Linked DNA regions of Nothobranchius furzeri. The protein of the gene in region 2 purifies or fractionates together with the protein of the main gene of each other region. This does not show direct contact. Links are inferred from orthologs where the notes say so. Each region holds a gene or a part of one and is shown on either strand. Other genes may lie near its edges.

Region 1 (3,813 bases), on a different chromosome or scaffold from region 2:
GGCTCTCACCTTGTTTAGGAAGCCCTTGAGCACGCCGGCAGCTTTCACCGACAGGGACCTCGGGATGCGAATGGGCTTCTCGAGAATAACTGTTGGCAAAAAGAAGGACAGCGGGAAGAGGAGAGACAATGAAAGGGCAGTTGTCAGTAAGGAGGTGGATGATTCAGCGGCCAGGCGGCCTGTAGGTGACCATGTCTGCTGCGTGGGAGTCAGATCCTCCTCCTCCTCCTCCTCCTCCTCCTCCTCCTCCTCCTCCTCCTCCTCCTCCTCCTCCTCCTCCTCCTCCTCCTCCTCCTCCTCCTCCTCCTCCTCCTCCTCCTCCTCCTCCTCCTCCTCCTCCTCCTCCTCCTCCTCCTCCTCCTCCTCCTCCTCCCAGCTCCAACAACAACCAGCCTCGAGATTCACAGAGAGGAGAACAGAAATACGCTAAAATACTGAAGGACGAGAACAGCTCCACATCAAAGTTTTTAATAAAAAGAAAATCAGTTCCAGCTGGAGGTCATGTGACCGGCGCGTTTTCATCCTCAGGTTTCAGATTCACGGCTACACTGTAAAAACACCACTCACAAGGACTTTCACTGACTTTTCCACTTTGATACAACATGGGTTCTGTCTCTGATACCACGCACCCCCAACAGAACCGGCCCAGTACCAGGTGACATATGGTGGCGGCTCATACGTGTGGGGGTCGGGTTCTGCTGGCAGACGTTGACTCAGGAACCCGCTGACGGAGCGGTGAGACCATCAGGTGGACAGAGTCGTGGCAGATCCTCGCCGTGGCGCTCACAGCTGAGAGGATCTGCGTCAGTCTGAAGCACGGAGGAATTTCTGCTGGGGTGGACCGTGTTTGGACGGGTGGAGGTGACCCGGGGGGAGACCATATGGCTGCAATAAAGCATAAATAGAGATCTCTGCTTCCTGAAGGAGGGGCCTACAGTCGAGGTGGAGTTTTCTTTCATTACATCCCATAATAAGTCTCTGAGTGGACCCAGTTCAGGCTCTGGCGGACAAACTAAATAAAACACACAGCAGGAAGTTTTTATTAAAGGCACACTTAGCCTCTCTGCTTGCTTTTAGCACCCCCTAGTGTCCACGACTACTTCTCTGAGGTCCTCGCTGTGCTTTCATCTCTTTTACACCTTCATCTCAGTTTGGCCCGCTGGCCCGTGTTGCCGCAGAGACTACAAATCCCATGGGGCTTTGCGGCATTAGCGTGTCAGTCGAAGCGCTCCCTCCTTTCAGCGTCTGCAGCCATACCCTCCTCATTCTCACACGGAAAACACTCAGAGTTTACTCAGCGATAGACCGAGTGGACCGTCCGCGGCCGACATGAAAAGCTCACCAACCAACTTCCAGTTTAGCGACGCACTCCAGTCAGCGTGACCCCGTCGCTGCTGCAGCTGTCATCTCTCCTCCCCGACACACCGACCCAACTCCGGCCGTAGCTGCTCACATTCTCCATGTTCAGCAGCACATCTGTCTATGTGAGCACCTGTTGTCTGTGATGAAGATGAACAGAACAACCCCGGAGCCTCAGCTCGGAGCCCACAGGTGCAGGTGTGTTAGGGTTAGGGTTAACTCTAACCCTGGAACAGGTGAGCTCCACAGTAAATCACTGGGCTTGAATATTGTGGCTTCAGGCACTTTTCCTGCTCTAAAGCAGGTGAGATGATTTCCTGTAGGAGAATTGTTTTTGTTTTCCTGTAAAATAAGGTTAGACCTGCTCTAAAATGGACCTGAACAGGCTGCAGATGGAATAAAACAGAAAATGCCTTTATTGTCCCTCAGCAGGAAGGGTTGGTGCGACAGCAGCAATAACGATCTTCACAGGAGCAGAAAAGGAGAGTAAACAATAAGAATAACAAGTAAACAACAGAGAAACATCAGCGATTCAAAAGGTTCATTCAACGATGCTGAATTCACACATTTCAGGAATAAAAGAGTAAAAATGGAGACATGATGTGTTGATTTAAAATGTACTTGCTCGTGTGTAATTTAGTTATTCAGTGTTGATGAAAGGTGGAAAGGTTCACCCACAAATACCTGTAAGAAAAAGGAAAATGGCCGCATTTGCCGTCACTTTAAATAAATACGGAGTTCAGCCCACGACGTCGTCCCGGCCTGGTTTAAGCGCTGAAACGTCTCCCAGCCTTCCTCAGTGTCTACAGGATTGACTCGTCACTAAACCCAACCAATCAGCTGTGTTCATGCGACTTCCTGGCCACAGAGGGCAGCAGGGTCTGGCCACTTCATTAACTCTGTAAAGGCTCATTTTAGCGCACCTGCTCAAGAAAATCTTATAAAAATATGAAAAAGTCGCAGAGAATCCCTTTAACACTAACGAAGTCCGCGCTGCAGCGCCCCCGTTCTGATTGGCTGATGCTTACATTTTAAATGGATTTTAGGAAGTTTATTCAGTCATTTATCTACTGTTAGCAAACCACCTGCATGAGACGTCAGAGTGGGCGGAGTCTCTAGAAACAGGAAGTAAACCTCTGAATCAGGGGTGGGTGTGTCCAAACCTAGGGGCTGCACCCTTCCAAGGATGCGTTGTACGGCCGATTATGTCCCAGTGAAGAGAGGAAGTCGTCCAAAGTTGAAGAAAACTCCAAATGCGTCTTTTAAAGGACCGGTCTGGTGTCCCCCCCCCCCCCGTTCAGATTAAGCCCGGGAGGACTAACGCCTTAAACGTTGGTGTACTTAAACCTGGTGGGAGAAACTAAAAGCTTGTGTTGTTAGGATTTTAGTGTACATAAAGAAATCCTCGTAGATGAGCCTCTGACTGGTATTTCCCGTTTAGTGACTTATGGTTGCTAGGCAACAGGACATGCGCTGAAATAGGGCGGCAATAAATATGATGACTCAACCATATTACTTCACAGCCGCTCACTCCCGGGCTGGGCGGTCGAGGAAGGGCCTGTCCTACCCGGTCCATGCAAGACGGGTCCTCACAAGGACACTGTCCTCGACTTCGTTGCTTCAGTCACTTCCTGTTTCTAGAGAACCCGCCCACTTTGAGGCATGTGGACAGACAGCAGCAGGTGAGTCCTGGTCTCTCACCTTGAAAGAGGTACTCTTCTGTGTTCATGTCGGGATTGTCTGTGATGATGTCAAACGGGGACCTTCCAGCCATCATCTCAAACATCAGAACACCCAGAGCCCACCAGTCCACACTGAAACCTGAGAGGTCAAAGGTCAGATGGTAAGAAAACCTTTCATAACCAGAAACTACGGTAACCATGAAGCCAACTTCTGCTGACCGTAGTCCTCTCCTCGGAGAATCTCAGGAGCGATGTAGTTGGGAGTCCCGCAGAAAGTACTGGTGGTGTCGCCGGGTCTGATCCCCTCCTGGAAGACGGAAGAGATGAGATGTGAGCGAGAACATCAACACAGGACAAGTCCTGAGGTGGTGCTGTGAGGCAGGAGATCTCTGTGGGAAGGTCTTCTTCTAGAGGGTCATTAAAGGACACCTTCCTTTATACCTCCAGAACTTAACGGTGCTACCTTCTGATCATGTGATCTGCTCGCAGCACCAGAGGGGTCTCTGAGCATAGCCCAGCTGCCAGCGGTGGCTTTAGTTCCTCTCTTAGTGATTATTTATGACTTGACTCGCTGATTAACAGAACCTTTGATGCGATTTCTGAAGGCTCTGATTCGCTGTCGTCTCCGTACCTTGCACATGCCGTAGTCTGTGAGTTTGACGTGTCCCTCGTGGTCCAACAGGACGTTGTCCAGCTTCAGGTCTCGGTAGATGATGCCCTTTTCATGAAGGAAGTTCAGAGCGATACAGATTTCAGCTGCATAAAACCTGCA
Region 2 (4,175 bases):
CATAAAACTATTGTGCATATATGAATGCTTGAACAGGGGTGAAGATTAATTCTGAAGCCACTTGAGCAGGACCATAAGGCTAAAAACAAAGAGAAACAGGATTCCTTCAGCTGTCAAGATTACCAGAAAGGTCCAACTGTCCAAACCCGACACTCAGGAAACTGACAAATGTCCCGCAGCTACCTGCCTAGAGATGCAACAGATAAGAGGCCAGAAGAAAACCGAAACAGCTGCAGAAAAGTTCCTGCAAAAAAAATAGCTTGTGAAACACTCCCGACCCCACTCACACCTCCGGGTGGTGCGACTGGATCCATGAATATACCTCTGCTAGCAGCTGTGTTTTGCTAGAACAGTGGCTTCCAATAATGTTCCTTGTTTGAGAGGTTTCTGTGCATCTACACACCTCAGATTAGTCAATAGCTGATTAACAGGCATCTGCAGAACCTGCTATCAGCTGTTGAATCAGTTGTGTTGAAGCAGGAAAACATGCTGGATAGTGGATTGGACACCCCTGTGCTAAAAGGTAACTGTAACTCTAAATGGTACCGGTGGCCACAGAAAAATTACATTTGAATTCTGGTATCAAACGGTTTTATTGGACAAACTTTCCATCTCTCCAACAAACATCACCTCACTCATTCGACAAAACCGCATCAGTCAGCAAAAACTCAGTTGCTCAGATCCGTCATAAATAAACAATTAAAAACGGAAAGAAAAACAGGTTAGTTGGCGTTTTCAGAAATCCTGACTTTTACGGATGAGCCAGGCAGTAAAACCCAGACTTCTGTAACTGGCAGTAGGTTCTCTCTCAAGTTACAGCCACACTTTACAGAAAAACTTAAACCTTTACTGACTAAGAGTAGTGTGGCAGCTGCTGGCGACCATCTAATCAGTCACTGAGCACTTTACCCTACAGCCTCCATCTTTATTAGGTAGAAACTATTACATTTGACATTAATTACATTTCACAAAGCCCTGGAGATCCTCCAGGAACTTGATGTACTCTTGATGCTCAATGGCGGTGCTCAGCTCCATCAGCTCATCGGCGAAGGTGTTGTCAACCCCGCGGTCAGCCAAGAAATCCATCAGGTGGTCATAAAGCGCCTGGAATAAACGGACTATGAGAGTAGCGTCCTGCAGCCTCATTAACTTTCTGAACCAGTCTCAGCTCTTACCCAGTCCAGGGAGTCTGTGTTGAGTGTGTAACTGGTCTCCTTCCAGTCCACATCCCCCTCTGGTTGGAAACTGACCTCCCGGATTGCAAAGATGTCGCTCTCCTCCTCCCCCTCGGCATTACTTACCTACAACACACAAATCCAGCAGGTTTCATTTAACTGAGACAGAACCGGCTCCTCACTATTTAGCATGTGCTTGTGTATGTTTGTTTTACCTCATCTTCAGGAAAATGACAGTCAAACACAAGGGAATGTTTAGCAGCTTGTTTTGTCACTTCAACAACAAAGTTGGGTGTTGACACAATCTCTGGCTACAAAGAAGGACAAAAATGATACAATTATAGAATTATAAAGTGTTAAAATCATTTTTTCTTTCCACGACCAATCAGGTCATAGATTGATGATGGGCTTACTTCCTCCTCTGCCGATTTCTGTGACTGCCCCTGCTCCACTGCCTCCTCCTCAAAGTTAGGAGGAATGCTGTTGTTGACATTGAACGTGACGGTGATTCTGAAATCAGACCACACCGTGAGCCCACACTGAGCACCACTTCCTCTCAGAACAAATCGTAGCATCCTTACTTGTCTCCAGAAGCATGCTTTGTGAGTTTCACCTCTGTTCCATTCATCCCCACCTCCCATCCTCCAGTCATTTTAGGTAGACTTTTGTTTTTCTGGATTACCTTCTCTTCTTTGATCTCATCAGACAGGAAGTCACCAAATGCTTTATCGCCTGAATAAAGTGAGGGCAAAAATGATAGATCTGTCTGAATTAGCATCAACACCTTTAAAACTCCTTTCAGAAAGACTAAATATGAAATGCTGCGTATAAAGTTCACTTAACTCGCTTAAGTAAGACAAGTGTGTGTACTTGAGTGTTTACATGTGTATTTAAAACCTAGAACTTCATGTTTAATTACGTTGTAAATCTCCTAGCTTGAGGCTAACAAGCTAGCTGATTAAGACGTTACTTTAAAACGTGACCTTACCTTCTGTGTGCAGTCCTTCACATCCACACGACACAGAAGGACCCAACACCTTTGAGCTGAACAGTTTGGGTCTGTAGCCTGATGACGCTCCGTTATTATTCAGCATCCACAGGGAGCGGGTGAACGGCCGAATTGTAGCCGAGCTGGGAGCGCACAGAGTCGGGCAGTTGATTGGTAAGGCCCGCGAGACTGAGGACAAGCGAGCAGCGGCTCCCGCTACGCGGACAAACGACTTCAGCATAGCGGTGTGCTTATTAAAACGCTGTGTGAGAACAAAATAATTTAATCTAACGCCCCTGAAAGCCCCCTTAGCCACGCAGGTTACGGCTGCTTCTTCTGGAAGATACAGGAAGCACGTGGGGAAGGACACAGCGACCTCGCGTCACTGCGACCTCTGAACCGGAAGCAATGTTTTTTAAAGCGATGGTGACATATTACATCAGTCAAATGAAGCACATAATGTACAAATGATAAAAAAAAACACATCTAAAATATATTAACTAATCATCAATTCCTTATTTGAATACTGCCCTTTGTGCCCAAGCGGAAGATTTTAAATGGACATATGCATTTTGGTTTAACAAGCCTAAAAAAAGTCCCAGTTTGTGATGACACAAACAGGGAATTGGGGCAAGGTGGAAGAGGACTTAAGTGTCTGCCTCATAATTGGAAGGTTACAGGTTCAAACCCCGCTCAGCTGGTGTCGGTCATGTTGTGTCCGTGTCACATTACCTGCTGGGGGTGGTCAGAGTGACGCCTGTGAACTTCAGCCTTGCCCAGGGCAGCTGCAAGGCTGTTTCTCCCCGTTCGCTGACTGTGAGAGCGGGGAGGTTGCGCTGACTCCCAGGTGCAAGGGAGATGTACTACCAATGGAGCAGCAGCAACTCTACCTGAAACCCCCATGGAGCAGCAGCAACTCTACCTGAAACCCCCCTGAATATGAGGGCACCTCAGGTTATATTAGCCTGAGTAGGATGGATGTTTTCTTAAAGTGAGGCTTGAAACAACTCACTGTCGAAATAAAAAAGCTGAAATCACTTCATGTCAGAAGAATTTTGTGCAAAGAACTTTATAAAGATGTTTGTATGGACAATGGAACTACGATAACCATCTTCTTTAAAGGGACAGTTCACCTTTTTTCAAGCGGAGGTCTGTGGAGGTGTTGTGAACAATTAATATCTGAGCTGCTGTTGATGGCAATTGGGCTGACCTCAATTTAGAGGTTGTGTTCAAATTGGAACTAAGCTGTTAGCGACCTCTTGACCCCTGTACTGAGACACTGTGTTTACACACGCCTGTATTCTCCATACCAGTAAACTCAGGTTTGATTACCAGCTGGCTGATACTTCCTTTTCCACACAAAACTTTTCGTTTTGCTTTTAATACCTGGTAAATATCTGGCCTTTTCAGCTTTGTTATGATGCATTAAAATCTAAAAATGTAAGAGGGTGGACTTTATGTCACGAGTCTGTGACAAAACTTTAAAGTTTCTATCTGGAAACAAAGCTTTCAGGCATTATAGAAACACGTCGTAAACAAACAAAAATGATAATCACCTTGTTGAAACATTTCTTTCATTAACTGGTTTACTTCAACAGTTGGAATACTTTTATTAGAAATTATAATAGTTTATATGAAAACCTGTTCTACTCTAATTAAGCTCATTTAATGTTTGCCTTTATTCTACAAACTACATGCAGGTAGGTAAAGTAGGTTTTCATTTGACTTACAAACAAGTAAAATGCAAGTGGATCTCAGAGAGATTCCATCAATTATAAATGCAAACATTTTTGGTTCTAAGCAGGAAACTGAAACGCACGTGGTGCCTCTTCAAAGATATAAACTATTTATGTGACAACATGTTGAAATTAGAGTATATGTTGTACAATCCTGAGTGCAGAGTAAAAAAGAAAAGAGGATCCCTTCATCAACATGATGTGACCTTCTAGAGCAGGGATTCCCTAAGTGTGGTGTGGTGCGCGAGCTGCCGCTAGGGGGTGTGCGAGGTGAAA

What was found.
Region 1: the proteins of c1qbp (region 2) and prkcz purify together in Homo sapiens (affinity purification with mass spectrometry; 5 studies listed by BioGRID and IntAct, with this or other methods). This does not show direct contact. The link is inferred for Nothobranchius furzeri from reciprocal best matches to the Homo sapiens genes C1QBP and PRKCZ.

The regions. Positions count from the first base shown.
Region 1 is NC_091755.1:44,951,997-44,955,809, reverse strand, and holds part of prkcz (protein kinase C zeta type), read right to left. Parts: intron 3,809-3,813; coding exon 3,673-3,808; intron 3,349-3,672; coding exon 3,261-3,348; intron 3,181-3,260; coding exon 3,061-3,180; intron 90-3,060; coding exon 10-89; intron 1-9. UniProt on the Homo sapiens protein: Calcium- and diacylglycerol-independent serine/threonine-protein kinase that functions in phosphatidylinositol 3-kinase (PI3K) pathway and mitogen-activated protein (MAP) kinase cascade, and is involved in NF-kappa-B activation, mitogenic signaling, cell proliferation, cell polarity, inflammatory response and maintenance of long-term potentiation (LTP).
Region 2 is NC_091750.1:66,121,000-66,125,174, forward strand, and holds c1qbp (complement component 1 Q subcomponent-binding protein, mitochondrial), read right to left. Parts: upstream 2,559-4,175; 5' UTR 2,405-2,558; coding exon 2,164-2,404; intron 1,908-2,163; coding exon 1,757-1,907; intron 1,686-1,756; coding exon 1,589-1,685; intron 1,487-1,588; coding exon 1,391-1,486; intron 1,302-1,390; coding exon 1,176-1,301; intron 1,105-1,175; coding exon 955-1,104; 3' UTR 575-954; downstream 1-574.